Arabidopsis thaliana: one gene and its partners. The protein of the gene in region 1 interacts with the protein of each later gene in a pairwise test. Each region holds a gene or a part of one and is shown in the gene's direction. Other genes may lie near its edges.

Region 1 (6,287 bases):
CCACGGTGTACGACTCAACCGTCCCCTACCTTCTCCGACTTCACTCAAGCGAGTCCTTCACTGACGTCATTCAATAATCCGGCAAGCTTTACACCTTCGTTTAGCTTCTCCAACATTCACCAAATGATTCCTACGCCGTCGTCGTCCCATAACTCAAAGGCGTCGGTGAGCTCTGCTTCGTCGTCTAGCTTCTACTTTCCCCAGACGAGTCCTTCATCATGCTCTACTCCGTCGTCGTTCAGTCCAGACTCGTTTTCTCACTCCAACACCGGACCATGGTCGATCCCTCAGCCTTCCCCTGTGTTCTCATCCATAGCACCGGCCAGTTCTGCTCTGTCGTCGTTCGGTCCAGACTCATTTTCTCACTCCAACACCGGAACATGGTCGATCCCTCAGCCTTCCCCTGTGTTCTCATCCATAGCACCGGCCAGCTCTGCTCCGCCGTTGTTCGGTCGTGATTCATTTCCCCGCTCCAACCGCGGAAAAGGGTCGTTGATTCATAGGTCGCCTGTGCTTTCGGTCTTACCGCCGGCGCCTGTCTACTCCTCTAATCCGATGGTGAGATCATCTCCGCCGGGTCACCCATCTCCATCAGCACATTTGGAGGAAATGTCTAACCGTCCCCCGTTGCATCCTCAGCCTCGGGTTCCAGTCACGAGGTCCAACTCTGCGAAAGTCTCCGGTAGCAGGCCTAGAAAGTATCATAAAAGGACCAACAGTGAGCTATCAAGTATGTTGGTTGGGGACTCAAGCCGCGGCGAGGAAGGCGGATTTGGAAAGCTCATATATAATGAGGAAGCAATGAAGGAATTCTGCTCTGAGTATATGATCATGCCTAACCAAAGTGCTGTTAACAATAGTGATCAGAATCGGAATGCTGATGTTTTGATGATAACCAATACTGATTCGGGAGGTGCAAATGATGCTAAGAAATATAAAAGGTAAGCAAGACTGGGTGACTTATATTAGGGAACAATATTTTTTCTTTAATATATTTTATTATTATCTTTTGTGATGTATGGTTGTTGACATTTATTTATTCATATTGATGCTCTTTCAGAATGTTGGCAAACCGAGCCTCAGCTGCACGTTCTAAGGAGAATCGGGAAAAGAAGATTCGTGATATGGAACTCAGAGTAGAAACTCTTGAAAACACTCAAGCTTCACTGTTTGGAACGATGACACTTTTGGAGGTGAGACATATATATCACAATATCAACCATCTACTTGTCATGTCTAAGTTTCTTCTATAGGGAATTTGTTTAAACAAAACTATTGTTGTTGCATGCAGAAGGAAAACATAGTGATGATGAACGAGAATAAGTTAGCGAAGATTCGACTTCAATTACTAGAGCAACAGGCCCCTCTTCTTACTGGTACGTTTTAGCCACATATTTCTCTTCATAAAAAGAATTTTGAATGAGTTTTTACCAAATCTTTTTTTTTTTTTCCTTTTTTTTTCCTTTTTTTTTTACCAAAGTTTTTACCAAATCTTCAACTGTGAAATACGTTTATTTTTTTCTGCTATATCGAAAACTTGATGTCTAACTAGTATGTAAATCATTTTTATATGAGGTTCCTAACAAGATCCTTCATCGTACCATCGTTTTTTTATTTGAAAAAATATCCATGCTCGGTGACTGAAGAAGATATATAAGCTTTCATTTTTTTTGTTTTTGTAGCTTTAACTAAACAATTAGATGAACTCCGAAGGCTAGAAAAGGAGGCAAATGAACGAGGGAGTGTCGACTATTCTCAACTACTGAAACAACTGAAACAAAGTGAAGAGCTCCTTGCTGAAATCAACCGATTTAAAGTAGCAACTGGTCAGGGGATGAAAAATCCCAACCAGTTCGAGGGTTCAACCATGCATCAATCGGACCAAAACGTGTTCCAGCCGCAACTCAACACCTATGAGTTCAATCAGCACCAGCAATTGGACCCAAACATATTCAAAGAGCAATGCAATGTCAACGAGTTTAATCATGAGCAACCAAACCATGAATTTTATGGACATAACTAAAGGATTAAACATGTCTTCAAGTTGTTTTAGATTTATCTATATATGATTATAAATTTGTAACCGTGAGAGGGTTCAGACAATATGATTTTTTTTTAATATTTTTGTTTAGTTTATTTCATTAAAGCTTTGTTCTTTCATTTTTTTGTTATTGAGATTAATTTTTATTTTATCAAATTTGTTGAATTTGATAGAGAAATAAACATACTCTATATGTAATTAGACGAAAGTAGTCTTTTCCGACCAGTGGATGATTGCTGCTTTGGTCAACGTTTCAAAAGAATCGTTTTTTCTTTTAGTTCCTTCCTTCTTTCGCTATTTTCGCCATTGATTGCTGAAGAAAACACAGAGAGAGAGAGATTCACTTCCCCATTTCAGGTCAAATTTCTTTCTTTCTAATAGATTTATCTTCTCTATTTGGGGGAAATCAATTATTGTTGAAATCTCCAGCTAAAGGATCAAACTTTAGTTAGGGTTTTGGTTCTTCTTCAAAGTTTCTGACTTTTATTTTTGTTCGGAATCTCAGAAAATCAAAATGGGTGGTGGTGGTGATACAACAGATACCAATATGATGCAGAGAGTTAATTCTTCTTCTGGTACATCGTCTTCTTCGATCCCTAAACACAATCTTCACTTGAATCCTGCTCTTATCCGCTCTCACCATCACTTCCGTCACCCTTTCACCGGAGCTCCTCCACCGCCGATTCCACCCATTTCTCCTTACTCTCAGATCCCGGCGACTTTACAACCTAGACATTCTCGCTCTATGTCGCAACCGTCTTCTTTCTTCTCCTTTGATTCATTGCCGCCGTTAAATCCTTCTGCTCCGTCGGTTTCGGTGTCGGTGGAGGAGAAAACCGGTGCCGGATTTAGTCCTTCGTTGCCTCCGTCACCGTTTACGATGTGTCATTCTTCTAGCTCTAGGAACGCCGGAGATGGAGAGAATCTACCTCCGAGAAAGTCGCATAGGCGTTCGAATAGTGATGTTACTTTTGGGTTTAGTTCAATGATGTCTCAGAATCAAAAGTCTCCTCCTTTGAGTTCTTTGGAGAGATCGATCTCTGGTGAAGATACATCAGATTGGTCTAATTTGGTGAAGAAAGAACCGAGAGAAGGCTTCTACAAGGGAAGAAAACCAGAGGTTGAAGCAGCTATGGACGATGTTTTCACGGCTTATATGAATCTTGATAACATTGATGTCTTGAATTCTTTTGGAGGTGAAGATGGCAAGAATGGGAATGAGAATGTGGAGGAGATGGAGAGTAGTAGAGGTAGTGGTACAAAGAAGACGAATGGTGGAAGTAGTAGTGATTCTGAAGGAGATAGCAGTGCGAGTGGGAATGTGAAGGTTGCGTTGAGTTCTTCTTCTTCAGGCGTGAAGAGAAGAGCAGGTGGAGATATTGCTCCTACTGGTAGACATTACAGGAGTGTTTCTATGGACAGTTGTTTCATGGGGAAGTTGAATTTCGGCGACGAATCATCGCTAAAGCTTCCGCCTTCTTCATCAGCTAAAGTTTCCCCAACCAATTCAGGTGAAGGGAATTCAAGTGCTTATAGTGTTGAATTTGGAAACAGTGAGTTTACTGCAGCTGAAATGAAGAAGATTGCAGCTGATGAGAAACTCGCTGAGATTGTAATGGCTGACCCTAAGCGTGTTAAAAGGTAATAAAATAGTGATGCTTCATTAGACATTTTGATGTTGTTGTTGTTGTGACTTGACTGTTTTGATTTAACCATCTCGTTAGAATCTTGGCGAACCGCGTATCTGCTGCACGTTCAAAGGAGCGGAAGACGCGATACATGGCAGAGTTGGAACACAAGGTGCAGACACTTCAGACTGAAGCTACTACATTATCGGCTCAGCTCACACATTTGCAGGTGCGAGACAAAACAACAAACTATCATGTTTGAATAAGTCTGTAGTCTTATATTGTTTCCTTTGGTGGCTCAGAGAGATTCTATGGGGTTGACAAACCAGAACAGTGAGCTGAAGTTTCGTCTTCAAGCTATGGAGCAGCAAGCACAACTCCGCGATGGTATGCACATTATCAAAAGTATTCATTCTCAAAATTAGGGTTGCTGAGTCGCTTTAGGATTGTTTTGTATTCGAACTCGATGGAACCAAGTCAGTGTCTTGTCCTTATCCGAATGCTTTGTTTTACTTTCCATAGACGATTTTCTTCTACCGTAAGAACTTTCCCTTTTCGGTTTCCCCAGCCTTGAGTAGGAACAATGTTTGTGTATTCTATGTATGGAAAAACCTGAACCTTGTCCTTGATTATTTAGCTCATGGCCGCAAGATTGCACCCGAATTTTATCCATCCTTACCGCTAAATATGTCTCTTGTTTAACTTACTCTATTAAAAGATTTGATCTCTCCGGAGAATTTAGCTACCACGTTTCTTGATTTTTTGTAAGTTCTCCTAGAGAGGTAACATTTTGATATTCCTTGTTTGGCAGCTCTGTCAGAGAAACTGAATGAAGAAGTCCAGCGGTTGAAACTGGTGATAGGGGAGCCGAACCGCAGGCAAAGTGGGAGCAGCAGCAGCGAATCAAAGATGTCACTAAACCCGGAGATGTTTCAGCAGCTTAGCATAAGTCAGTTACAACACCAACAGATGCAGCATTCCAATCAGTGTAGCACAATGAAAGCAAAGCACACTTCAAACGACTAGGGTAAGTAAAACTGCGATCCGCAGTTGTCTAGTTACATATATGATAAGAATCTTTTGTGCAGAGTTCTGTTTTTGGAAGTTTTAAAGAAACATATATAAAGATTATGTCCGGGAAATTTGATCATATTTCCTGAAACATACACACATATATATAGTGGTAATGGAGGACTTTCTTTCTGGACCAGGTGATCTTATGTTGTTTTGGTCATATATTTACACAGTTAGGATTTTATTTCCCTTTGGATTTTGGATAATCTATGAGACAATTTTTAAGGTTTATAAATATTACTGGATCTAAATCGTTTTAACAGAGTCAAATGCTGTGAAATTGCTTCTCTCGCTTAGACTACTTCTCTCCAGCTTCATCTCCTCCTGTAGTCTTTATGGATTTTTATTACAGTAGGATCTTTCAACATGTTCTTGAATCTTATTAAAGTAAAATAGAATGATGGATTGGATACAACTGGGAGTGATGGCTTACATAAAATAAATTTCAAAAGAGAGTTTCAGGCCCATTGCTTTTCTGAAAAAATGGATTGTGAAGAAAATGAAGTTGAAAACAATGATGAAGAAGCTCAACGAAAAGAACATGCCAATCAGTTCACATATATATAGGAAGGGGTCTTGTACCCAATCCAGCATCTGAACGTAAAGATGCTCAAAGGCGGTTACAAAACATCAGTTCACATATCTTGATCGTATTCGTCTCTCGGGGTTACAAACTTCTTTCACATATTCTAATAGCCTTTATGTTCACAGTCCATGTTTGTAGTCATTATTGAATTCTTCTCGCCAATCAAATATTGAATTCTAAGCGTCTAAAGGTTGATTTGAAACAAAACTTACTTTATTAAAATATGTAAAATGAAAAGGGTACATATCAAAAGAGCATAAACGAATAGATTATCTAAGGTTGACCAACAAAACAAATGACATGCACATTGCTTTCACATAACTCCAATCGTCGTCTCTATCTTCTTCTCCTTCTGATTCTGAATCTGAATAATATGGATATGATTCTTCTGTCATCACAAATGGAGCATTGAATGATTGAGTATGTTTAAATCGTTAACACTAAGATCATCTAGTGGTCTGCAAAGGTGTACACGCTACAAGAAGCTTCAATCACCAAAACCATGGGTTACATGATCAATGCACTCTTTTTATTTAAGGTAATTTTAACAAGTTATGTTTGTCAAACCATTCAAAATGTTTCTTATTTCGCCAAACCACGTAATAAAAATTCAATTAATTTGCCAAATCACATAACTATCCCAATGTGAAGTCAAAGTCCACAAGATTTAGATACAAAATAAGGCGCAATAGTTATTAGGGTATCTGGTCAGTAACAACTGATATGGGAACTGGTGCACCTTCAAAAAGAAAATCAATAGAACAAAAATAAAAGCACACACAAAAACGTGTACGGAATGGGACGAAAACGATAGATTCTGCAAAAAAATCGATAGCTACTCTCATCCAATTGGCTATCACCCATCCTTTACAGCTTTCCTTCTGGTCCATTCATTCATATTCCACCAAGTTCATTATACTTATATTTCTTAAGGCTCCAACAGAAAAAAAAAACTAAA
Region 2 (5,290 bases), on another chromosome or scaffold:
ATACATATTTGGTTTGTTTTCACGTGGATATGCACATGTTTCTGTGTACAATTTACTAAATTGGTTTCTCTGGGTTTACATTGTCGATCTCTCCAAAAATAACAAGACAAAAAGAAAGAGAAAAATGAAAGCATATACAAGCAAGCAACCATAAAATTTTCGATGATTCTATTCTATAGGGATACAAATGTATTTGACTATTGGAAAACAATTACACACGTCTATTCGATGAGCACAAAAAAATAGAACTAAAATAAATTAACAAGAAAAATAAAACTAAAATAATTGAGGACAAATACAGATAATAATATTGGTGTAAGCGTGTACATAAATATTGATCGTGTGGGTGTGCCTGCGAAATAAGAGGTACTGTGGGTCTCACGGTTCGGCAGTGCGCGTGGGGCTCGTCCCTACAAAATTAATTATGTAACATAAATAAAATCAAGAAATATATTTACCAAAAAAGAAAGTAAATAAAAGATGTTAAAACGAAATGTCGTACATTTATAATTAAGAGTGTTATTCTCCTGAAGACTATACTGTACAAGTAATAATTAGTAGCAATGCCATGCTGCTCAATAAATATCAAAGGAAAGGACAAACTAAAACCATTATAATGTCTACGATAGTGAGTGCAAATTGAGGAATAGAGTCGTAAATAATGATATATTTTGTGCTTTTTCTATTGTTATTTTTACCTTTTTGATTTTCAGAATTAAATGATTTTAGATATACAAAAAATTAAGAATCATAATGATGGTTGCGTTAATGAGTAGTGGCGTGAGGGTTGTCATGTCAGCTAAACAGCAGAAAAATAAAAGAATGTGGGAGACAGGCTTTGCCCTTTTACACATTTTTAAGCTCTCTTCTTTATTTTCTAAAAACACTATAGTACACAGTTAAAAATTTGCGGGCCCTTTGTTTAATCGATTTAGATTTAACCAACAGCTTCATAGTCGTTTCTTCTTGTTAGAAATCAATAAATGAAAAGTTGGTTGTTTTGAAAGCATATAATTAACTAACAATGTATCATGTTGTGAAACAAAAGCTGATGATAAATGTTAAATATAGTGTCCAAAATTTTGGGAATGTCTTCAAATTTTGATTTTAAAACATATGAGATGTACCAACATCCACAAAATGTTTGTGAAGTTGTGACTTAGTGAGACGTTGTCACTTTATTATCTCGTTTTGGTAACGGTAAGTGCATGTGAACGTGTTTGATTATAAGTTTAACCCGACTTTGTTTACGTGGTCATAGTTTCCAATAAGGCTAAGTAGAATAGTGTATGATAGTTTTCAATTCAAGAGTCTTTTTTTTCCAAGAAAATCCGAAAACACAATCGTTTATTTTAATATCTCAAAAGAAATCATATTTCTTAGGTAAAACTATCATACGTTGAGTTTTTCTTTCTCCTTTTGCGATTTTCCCTGAAATATATTTATGTTGTGTGTGTGCTTTGTAAACAAAATAATAATGAACGTAATAATAGTAAAACAAAAAGTAACCTATATTATTATCATACTTGATATAACCCAATAGAGAAATAATAATATAAATTAAAATTTTATTTCCCAATTCAAAAATCATAATCAAGGAGTGAATGCTGCCAGTAGACCAAAGTAACAATATTTGGTGTGTACATCAAATGATAGGAAACAACAAAAACTCATTAATATACCTAAATCCATATATATATATATATATATATATTTCAATATTTCACATTGTTATAATTAGGTTTAATAGATACCATATTAGAAATCTCAGTATGGTGGTTCCCACAAGCAAAGAGGGGAATGAGATTGCTATCTACCTATATTTATATCTCCGCAACTTCACTCTTTTCCTCAATCAACACACACAAACACACACACACACAGCCTTTTTCCTTCGTTGATCGATTGTTAAGCTCGATCCAATGGCGGATAACACCGATAATCGGAGATCCTTATGGGGAGTTCCGGAGAAGCTTCAGCTTCACATAGCGATGCTGACGTTGCAATTCGGTTACGCCGGATTCCACGTGGTGTCTCGAGCTGCTCTTAACATGGGAATCAGCAAACTCGTCTTCCCTGTTTATCGTAACATCATCGCCTTGCTTCTTCTCCTTCCCTTCGCTTACTTCCTTGAAAAGTAACCTTCTATTTTCACTTCACTTCTTTATTTGAAAACCCTATTTTTTCTCTAGTTGCTAGTTATTTAATTACCAAACTTAATTGTGTTAATTTAGGAAGGAGAGACCAGCGATTACTCTCAACTTTCTCATCCAGTTCTTCTTTTTGGCACTCATAGGGTATATATTTATATCCTTCACTCTGATCTTTTCAATAACAAATTTGGATAATTAGTTAATGAATTATTACACGACAGAATAACAGCGAACCAAGGATTTTACTTGTTGGGACTGGACAACACTTCACCAACATTTGCTTCCTCCATGCAAAACTCTGTTCCCGCCATTACCTTTCTCATGGCTGCTCTTCTCAGGCACTTACTCTACACATCTCTCCATTTTCATTCTCTTTTGATTTATAAAAATAAATAACAATATTTTGGACAGCTTGGATATACAAGAACCACTTTAATAATGTCCATTTGACTTTTCAACGTAAAAGAAACGGATAATAATACACGTAGACAATATTTAATGCCGTTTCCATTTGCTTACAAAATAGTGATAATCATAGTAGTAACAACAATGTAACATACTGTTTATGTACTGTATGTGAAAAAAACAATAATTCAGGATTGAGAAAGTAAGAATAAACAGAAGAGACGGTATCTCCAAAATCTTAGGAACAGCTCTTTGTGTCGCCGGAGCTTCCGTCATCACCCTCTATAAAGGTCCAACCATCTACACTCCGGCTAGCCACCTCCACGCTCATCTACTCACCACAAACTCCGCCGTCTTAGCGCCGCTAGGAAACGCCGCGCCTAAAAACTGGACCCTTGGTTGCATCTACCTAATCGGTCACTGTCTCTCGTGGTCAGGCTGGCTTGTTTTCCAAGCTCCGGTTCTTAAGTCTTATCCAGCGAGGCTCTCGGTTACGTCTTACACTTGTTTCTTCGGAATCATTCAGTTCTTGATCATTGCTGCTTTCTGTGAAAGAGATTCTCAGGCTTGGGTTTTTCACTCCGGTTGGGAGCTTTTCACCATCCTCTACGCCGTTAGTTTTTCTTTCATCTGTTATAATTAATTCGTTTTTGGCCCTAATGTTTCAAAATAATCAATTTGGTCCTAATGAATTGATTTAACTTCAGGGAATCGTAGCGTCTGGAATCGCGTTTGCGGTTCAGATTTGGTGTATTGACAGAGGGGGTCCAGTCTTCGTTGCTGTTTACCAGCCTGTTCAGACTCTTGTCGTTGCGATCATGGCTTCTATTGCGTTAGGCGAAGAATTTTATTTGGGCGGGTATGAAACTATAATAATATTAGTGGTTTATATAAATACTTGATAAAATCCAAGGTCCTAAACAAGAATAATTTTAAAATTTGTTGTGCCACATGTCATATTTCTAATGGCAGGATTATTGGAGCGGTCTTGATCATAGCGGGACTTTACTTCGTATTGTACGGTAAGAGCGAAGAGAGGAAATTTGCAGCGCTTGAGAAGGCAGCGATCCAGTCCTCCGCGGAGCATGGTATTGAACGTGCACCTGTTTCTCGCAACTCCATCAAGTCGTCCATCACAACACCACTACTCCATCAGTCAACGGACAATGTTTGACTACTTTGGACAAATCACTCTCCAGCTAATAATTACAAATGCCATTACCCAATTAAAAGGGAACAATGGTGTGCCGTTGTGTTTTATGACTTTTGTGTCTGCTTTTTTTCTTAGTGTTTTCTCTTCTTTTTTTTTTCTAAAAAATTATTAATTACCTAAGAAAGGTTTTTGAAGAAAGGAAAAAAAATGGTGGATGAGACATCATTGTTCATGAGGATGATGATGATGATGATAGTGATGAAGAAGACTATGTGGGAGCTTTGGATTGAGACTTTTCTATATATAATATCTGGCTGATATATTAGTGCCATTTTTTCTTACATTTCTTGTGGGGTTTTTCTTTCCTTTATCATCAATAGAATGTTATAATTTGCATTTATGATCTTTAGTAATTATCACTGTCGGGGATGTTTAAAATGGATTAGATCAAACGCTTTGTTCTGAACTGAAGTAAAAAAAGATCTTTAGTATTTGATTAAAATGATCTCTTAAAGAAACAGTTTTTTTTTACAAATTTAGTTTATTATCAAATATCCAATAAAAATTCTTAACCGAATGAACAAGTTAAAAATAAACCAACATTTAATATATATAATATAATATGGACCAACTAAGTTATAGTATGGACCAATTCTTGAGTTGAAAGTCCATAGATTTTAACATGGTATTAAAGTTTAGCTAACTTGAGAAAGATGTGTTGTTCGATATATAATTTTTGGTCCAATATTAGAATTTTGTTTGAAATAGACGGATAAAAGCATTATTTTAAGGAGAACGTGTTAAAAATTTCACATATACACTTCAATGCTCTACATTATCTTTCTTGGTTTTCTCGGATCAGCTTACACGTCAGCTTTTTACATATAAAATATCATCTTTTAATTTGATGTAAACAAGAAGTTCATTAACAGAATTTCATATCTTATTTACCTTATACAAATAAATTTCATTAACAAAAGAAATTCATATACATAAGGAAAAACACAGTGCATAAGCGACTTTGTCTCATAATCGTTATCTGGCATAGGTTAGTCTACCATGTGGATTCAAGATTTCGTATTTGAATCCATTAGTTAAATCATATATAGCCCGTTATTGGAGACTGGAGACCATATATAAGCCGAGATATAATGATGTTGGGCCGGAATAAACGGGCCAGGTTTGTTATAAACCACGCCATATAGTCTATCAAGACTCGCGAGGATTACACGTTAGTACAAAGAGAAGCTAAGAAGAAGATGCAAAGAAAACCAAGAGAATAGTCAAAGACTTAAAAGCCCATAGAAACAGAGACATATAATAGTTACACATTGACCGTTACACACAACGTAACATCCCGTTTTCTTTATACAGATACATTGCACTTGATTTAATAGTTTTCCCCATGACACATTTTTAGCTTCGAGACAAACAACTGTCGTTTTTATGTTTTTTTTGATATGGTAAGAATCTGCTTTCACACTATACAGACAAACCACATATATAGATGTGCACATATATAAGTACATGTAACTGGTGTTTATTTACATATATATCCTAGTTCACGGTGACTATATTT
Region 3 (6,300 bases), 3.4 Mb from region 1:
TCGGTACAGAAGATGGCCAAAAGTTAGCCCACTAATTGCAAAACACAAGATAAGAAAAATAAAAAAGAGATACGTGTTATGCAATGTGGGATGTTGAGAGAAGAAAAAGGTTTCGCCGTCACCGACTCATCATCACCGGAAACTTCCTTCATCAGCTGTCACCGACTCATCATCACCGGAAACTTCCTTCACCAGCCGGCAGATCAACTCAGTCCTCCAAGAAACCTCTATCTCTGCCTTCGATTGTACCTACTCGCCTTTTGCCATAGATCACCAGAAGAGATTGGTTGGACCTAAACTTGATCACGAGAATTTGTAACCTCAGCCGATTAGCCCGAAATATTCATCAGAACAAGACGAAGACTCCAATTCTTCATACTCCGTCCCAATCAACCGCATCAACTTGATCAATCCACCAAGGAGAACCGATGCTCTAAACAAGCCCTTTTGGCGGAGCAAGGAATTACCTTCACTTGGGAGAAGAATCAAGCACTCAATGAACAAGGATCCATTTGATGACTTCTGGAATTTTCATCTTCCCGAAATTGGAAGAGTTAATTTGAGCCTGCAAAAGGCAACCAAAAGAGAAAGAAAGAAAGTAAATCCGAACAAGTCGGAAAGAGAAACCGGCATCAAAACAGGAAATCTAAAACACAAACCAAAAAGCTCTGATTGAAGACGGAGATTACAAAAGAAAAACAGAGCTCCCTCTCTGTAAAAGATATGAAAGAGAGAAGAGATAGAAAACTCTTTTCATTAAATGTTATAATACGAAAATGATATTCAACTATTTGTTCTCAAGAACAAGATGAGTGTCGTTAACATTAGAGTGTGAATATATTTTTGTTATAAAAATTGTCATGCGTTACGGAAAAAACAAAATGGTCATGCGTTTGGCTACACTGGTTCTTTTGGGCCTAAAGGATTTTATTTTACGTGCTCGAGTAACTTGGGCTATGGCTAGTGGATTTAGAAGTGGACTGTGTCAAAGAGTCAAAATAGATAGGCTAAAATTTCTGGTGGAAAGAATTAAGCCGAAAGGTCAACGGTATGGTACAAAGCAAAAAGGCAAATGGACCATTATTGCCAAACTTTTATTTTTATTCATTCAGATTTTGTGTCAAATTGCCAAGTTTAGAGACACATAACAGTAGTACACTTTTGCACTGACTATCAATTTAAATACGAATTCTCACTGATTAAACTAATTAAGACGCATCATTATAAATTTCTTAAATCATAAACACTAGAATCCAAAATCGATTTTCATTTTTCCCTCTTTTCTTTTTTGAATTCTTTCCTTTTTTTGATTCCTTCTTCTTCTTTAAATTCAAAATAATCTCTTATCTCTATGTCGATTGATGGTGCGAAAGAGAAAAAATTGTGCCTCAATTTGCTTAATTAACGAAAATTCGTGATTAAATTGAAAATCAACATAAAAATTGAGAATTTAAATTACCAGATACAGAACTCATAGTTTAAATCAACAAAAATAGTAAACTACTGATTTAAATGACATTTTTCCAAAAAAGCAAATTGTACAACATATTGTGTGATTTGGACCATATGGTACCAAACCATTATAACTAAATTAGATAATTTATGTTTATATTATTATTTCTTCTCAATATATAAGAGATTTATATAATAACCAATAACTATAAAATGATGAAAATTAACAAAATAACATCATAAGCTCAATACCTTAGGAGAGAACATATTTAACGTGTAACTGTCAAAGTTACTCCAAACAAAGTTTGTGTTCTTTTTTTATAAATAACAATGTTTGTGTTGAATGACCTCAATGAAGAGATTTGTTTGATAGTATTAAATAGCTAATATTTTCTTAAATTTTAGTATAGTTATGACATATTTGTATATGGCCTATTTGTATATGATCAGTATTATTCTGTTTTATTGTCTTAAAAATGATCAATATTATTCTGTATTTATAGATAAAAGGCTATTTTTCGCTTTGGAATAATTTTTAATTTCAAGAAATACATACTAGTTTTATTTATTCATTTAGACATGTTTGACATGAGTAGTTGATGAGTTTGTCAATTTTGAAATACCCACTGAGAAAATTTATTTTGTTTTACATAATGGAACTTCCTCTAACTTACGAAACTCTTAATTTTAATATAAATAAACAAACGAAAGAAACGAAAATTGGTCAGTTTTTTTTTTTTTTTTCTCTTCTGGTCAATGCCATCTCTCTCCCTCGTCTTTTCAGTTTCCTAATTTCCATTGTTTCTTCAAAACAACATTTCACAGATAGCTCCACCACGACCTGACGAAGATCCTCCGCGTGAGCAAGTTTCATGTTCTTCTTCTTCTTCCGATTCATAGTTTTTTTTTTTTCCGGTAACTTGTCATCAATTAGATCTCGTCCGAAGTTGAATCTTTAGTTCGCGAGCTTTTGGACAACTTCGAGGTAAAATTCGTTATTCTCTACACAACTTCCGATTAACGCTTGTGTAGCTACTCTCAACTTTGCTGCTTGATCCAATCTCGTCTTAAGTTGATTTTAGCTGCGAATTGGAACCGAATTGGTTTTTATGTAAAACTGTTACTTTTTTTGTGCGTGTATTGTTAAGAATGATGGATCTAGTTATATAAGCTTGAAAGAAGTTAGTTTCTTTGGTAGGTCTTAGCTTTGCAATGAAATTGTACGAACACGATGGAGTTGATTTAGAAGATGGGAAGACAGTAAAATCCGGAGGAGATAAACCAATTCCAAGAAAGATACATAACCGGGCTTTGTTATCCGGTTTAGCTTATTGCATTTCATCATGCAGTATGATACTTGTCAACAAGTTTGTTCTCTCCAGCTACAACTTCAATGCTGGGATCTTCCTTATGTTATACCAGAACTTTGTCTCGGTGATCATTGTGGTTGGTTTGAGTTTAATGGGTCTAATAACTACTGAACCACTTACTTTGAGGTTGATGAAGGTCTGGTTTCCAGTGAATGTCATCTTTGTTGGTATGCTTATCACAAGCATGTTTAGGTAAGAATGTGTTTCTACACCTTTATTTTGTGTTGGTTTGTTGAATTATATATCGATGCTCTCTTAATTCTCAAGCCTATAAGATTACTAAATTAGTAAAGTCAACTTTTTGGAGTACTAAAGGTAGTTATAAGAATCTGTACATCATCTTTACAGCAGATCGAGGATTAAATAACGTGTAGACACTTAGGTGAAACAGATAGATATTTTGGATTTACTTCACAGTAGGTCGAGATATATAGATATGTATCGTATATGTGTATGTAGGCGGTGTTTGAAGAGCAGATTGAACTTGATTGTCTATTTGAATTACATTTTCTTTGACAGTTTGAAATACATCAATGTAGCAATGGTCACTGTCCTGAAGAATGTCACTAATGTGATAACTGCAGTTGGTGAGATGTATCTGTTCAACAAGCAACATGACAACAGAGTGTGGGCTGCTCTCTTCTTAATGGTATGTTTGTCTGCTTTAAAAGTATTTCTAACTGATTCTGTAAATTGTACCTGAGAAAAAACTATTCTCAAGGAACCTATTTCAAGCTGCACATAGATAGCATTTTGATTGGAGTTTTTGAAAGATATCCTTGTCAAACAACGATTCTATACTGTTTTGGATTTGGTTTTCTCTTGTTTTCTCAAAGCACTCTCTGATCATCAACCTTAACCAATAAAGTCTAAAGCATATCTTCTTATTGATAAGTGATCCACCCTTTTGTGTGCGTACACAGTTACACTTGTCGTAGCGGCTTTCAGTGGTGTGGCATAGCCTAACCTTTCAATACTGTTGGAGATACATGTTTTTAACTGCTTCCACAATTAGTCTGCCAGGGAAATGTAATCATGTTTTTTTGTCACGGCTACTCATTGTTATATGTATATTCTATTTGTTTTTGTATAGATCTTGAATAAGTAGAGGATAAAGTTTTGATTAACCTGTGCTTCTTTCGTCCTTCATTTGCAGATAATTTCCGCAGTTTCTGGAGGAATAACAGACCTATCATTCAATGCTGTTGGCTATGCTTGGCAGATTGCTAATTGCTTCTTAACTGCATCGTACTCGGTGAGTAAACATTTGATCATTTGTGTTTTCTTTTCCCAAAATGTTAGGAGTCATTTGAAACAATAAACACATATATGAAAAGGAGATCACTTAAAAACCATGCTTTCATGTCGAGTATTACATGCTGTTTGGTTAAGACTAAGTCAATAAACTAAACAGCCTTCCCTATAATCATTACGATACTGGCTTGCTTTTGAGTTTTAAGATGCTCACGAGATACCGAGATTCTGTTACCTTAGAAAATTTTATAGCTTGCAATCCATTGTCACTGGTAACCTGAGTACTTCACTCGTTGTTAGAAGTAGGAATAGCATGTTAAAGAGAAGACTTTGGGCAAAGAATGCAAATTGACACCATCAACTTCTCAGTTCTCACTAGGTTTTCCATTGCTGGGTCAAAAAACGAGAGTGTTAGACTGTTAGGTTCCCATAAATTTATCCCTATATCCTGTCAACAAAAACCAAGTGTTTGGCTTGTTAGCTAGGCTACTATACTCTTATAAAATTTGCCACCACTTTTGACTTGCCTTATATTTTGTTGTTTTGCAGCTGACTTTGAGAAAGACCATGGATACGGCCAAGCAGGTTACTCAATCTGGAAACTTGAACGAGTTCTCCATGGTCTTGCTTAATAACACACTTTCATTACCACTTGGGCTTCTTCTTTCTTATTTCTTCAACGAGATGGATTATCTCTATCAAACGTGAGTTCCTGTCCTTATTTCTGTGTCAATGGAAAATGGTTTGTGTCATCTGAAAACAAAATGGTGTATTATATTTGTGCAGGCCACTTCTACGATTACCAAGTTTCTGGATGGTCATGACACTTAGTGGACTTCTAGGGCTTGCCATTAGCTTTACTTCAATGTGGTTTCTTCATCAAACTGGAGCAACAACATACAGGTAGCAAATTAGAGAGAGATAGAGCAATTTCAAAACTTTGCTTAAGAGAGTGTTGCTGTCCCCTAGCCTTCTCCATATATCCCTTTCCTATGTTTGCTTCTTTGTTGGTTCAGTCCTAACTAGATACATCTTTCGCTTTATTCAAAATCATAGCCTGGTGGGATCTCTAAACAAGATACCTCTATCCATCGCGGGGATCGTTCTTTTCAATGTACCGACCAGTTTGCAGAACTCAGCAAGCATACTCTTTGGTAAGCGTTCTCTCGATCAGTTCCCTTTTCCAACTTCTTGAAGGAACACATATCGCTTGTGTTGTGTATTATTATTAAACCTGAGGTGGCCTAATTTGCAGGTCTTGTCGCTGGAGTTGTATTTGCTAGAGCCAAAATGAGGGAGAAGTCCTAAAATACTAACCATCTACAACACATTTTACTACATCAATCAGTATAGGACATGGCAAAAGCTGATTAAAGCAGAGCAATGAGTTTATAACCTCAGAATTCTATGCACGTTATGTGTTTCTTGTAAAAGCTTTCGCCACTCTACTTGTATAATGTTAGTAAAATATTAATGAATGTATCGATTCTTGAGTGGTAAGAGAAGTGTTGGTTTATGTGTTTCTTCGTTTTTACCAATTTTCCAGTAAAGAAATTCAATGGTATGAGATTTCAACATAAACTGAAAACCCTAGCCACCTGATGATCAAGAACGACGGAAAGATGATGAGAGTGAGAATTGCGAAGGAGAGATCTGACTTATGCGACTTGACTGCTGCTGCAATTAAGGCTACTTACAATACACGGAACCCATGCGAAGTCGAGCGATGCATCGATGTGTTGAATCACTTGAAGTCTCTGTCTCTTTCCGTGAAGGATATACGATTGTCTGAATCAATAGTTAAACTGGAGACTTTGAGAAGTCATAGGAACCCTAGAATCCGTAAGGAAGCCCAAGCCTTGTTTCATTCATGGTTGAAGACATTCTACGCACATGGAAGCGACAACTCTTTCACAGCTGCTCTTACCAAAGATCGTCTGAAGATGAAGAAGCATGTTCTAAAAATGTGTTCGGAGTTGAAGAAGAAAGAAGAACCGGGAACTATGGCTCGTCAAGTCACTGCCTTTTCGGTGTTGAAGAATAAAGAAGACGAGAGATCTCAGACGACTGTTGAAGCAGTAGAGAGTAAGACAACGATCAAACTCTCGGAGTTGAATAGGAAAGAAGATCAGAGATCATTAACTCGTGAAACAGAGAAGAATAAAGCAAGGAACAGCTTTTTGGCTTTGAAACAGAAAGAGGATCATAGATCTGAGACTTGTGT

The links.
Region 2: the proteins of AT2G21230 (region 1) and WAT1 interact in a protein complementation assay, tested with the Arabidopsis thaliana proteins (one large-scale study listed by BioGRID).
Region 3: the proteins of AT2G21230 (region 1) and GONST1 interact in a protein complementation assay, tested with the Arabidopsis thaliana proteins (one large-scale study listed by BioGRID).

The regions. Positions count from the first base shown.
Region 1 is NC_003071.7:9,092,328-9,098,614, reverse strand, and holds AT2G21230 (Basic-leucine zipper (bZIP) transcription factor family protein), read left to right. Parts: upstream 1-2,267; 5' UTR 2,268-2,398; exon of another isoform or gene 2,399-2,546; 5' UTR 2,547-2,555; coding exon 2,556-3,682; intron 3,683-3,765; coding exon 3,766-3,898; intron 3,899-3,971; coding exon 3,972-4,074; coding exon of another isoform or gene 4,075-4,094; exon of another isoform or gene 4,095-4,441; intron 4,442-4,480; coding exon 4,481-4,695; 3' UTR 4,696-4,696; exon of another isoform or gene 4,697-5,008; intron 5,009-5,195; 3' UTR 5,196-5,479; downstream 5,480-6,287. Other genes in the region: AT2G21235 (Basic-leucine zipper (bZIP) transcription factor family protein), read left to right, coding at 1-941, 1,061-1,193, 1,292-1,376, 1,683-2,023. UniProt on the Arabidopsis thaliana protein: Transcription factor that acts as a repressor of reproductive development, meristem size and plant growth. Acts as a transcriptional repressor in inflorescence tissues.
Region 2 is NC_003070.9:28,336,724-28,342,013, reverse strand, and holds WAT1 (Walls Are Thin 1), read left to right. Parts: upstream 1-1,738; 5' UTR 1,739-1,922; coding exon 1,923-2,137; intron 2,138-2,234; coding exon 2,235-2,297; intron 2,298-2,374; coding exon 2,375-2,491; intron 2,492-2,750; coding exon 2,751-3,171; intron 3,172-3,265; coding exon 3,266-3,417; intron 3,418-3,530; coding exon 3,531-3,732; 3' UTR 3,733-3,826; exon of another isoform or gene 3,827-4,232; 3' UTR 4,233-4,288; downstream 4,289-5,290. UniProt on the Arabidopsis thaliana protein: Required for secondary wall formation in fibers, especially in short days conditions. Promotes indole metabolism and transport (e.g. tryptophan, neoglucobrassicin and auxin (indole-3-acetic acid)). May prevent salicylic-acid (SA) accumulation.
Region 3 is NC_003071.7:5,686,668-5,692,967, reverse strand, and holds GONST1 (golgi nucleotide sugar transporter 1), read left to right. Parts: upstream 1-2,196; 5' UTR 2,197-2,437; intron 2,438-2,650; 5' UTR 2,651-2,664; coding exon 2,665-3,014; exon of another isoform or gene 3,015-3,258; coding exon of another isoform or gene 3,259-3,341; coding exon 3,342-3,471; intron 3,472-3,978; coding exon 3,979-4,077; intron 4,078-4,625; coding exon 4,626-4,780; intron 4,781-4,862; coding exon 4,863-4,979; coding exon of another isoform or gene 4,980-4,983; exon of another isoform or gene 4,984-5,132; coding exon 5,133-5,230; intron 5,231-5,331; coding exon 5,332-5,384; 3' UTR 5,385-5,652; downstream 5,653-6,300. Other genes in the region: AT2G13660 (uncharacterized protein), read left to right, coding at 79-286, 351-676; AT2G13640 (Transcription factor IIS family protein), read left to right, coding at 5,678-6,300. UniProt on the Arabidopsis thaliana protein: Involved in the import of GDP-mannose from the cytoplasm into the Golgi lumen. Required for the luminal synthesis of a variety of plant cell surface components. Is required for the correct mannosylation of the glycosylinositol phosphoceramides (GIPC).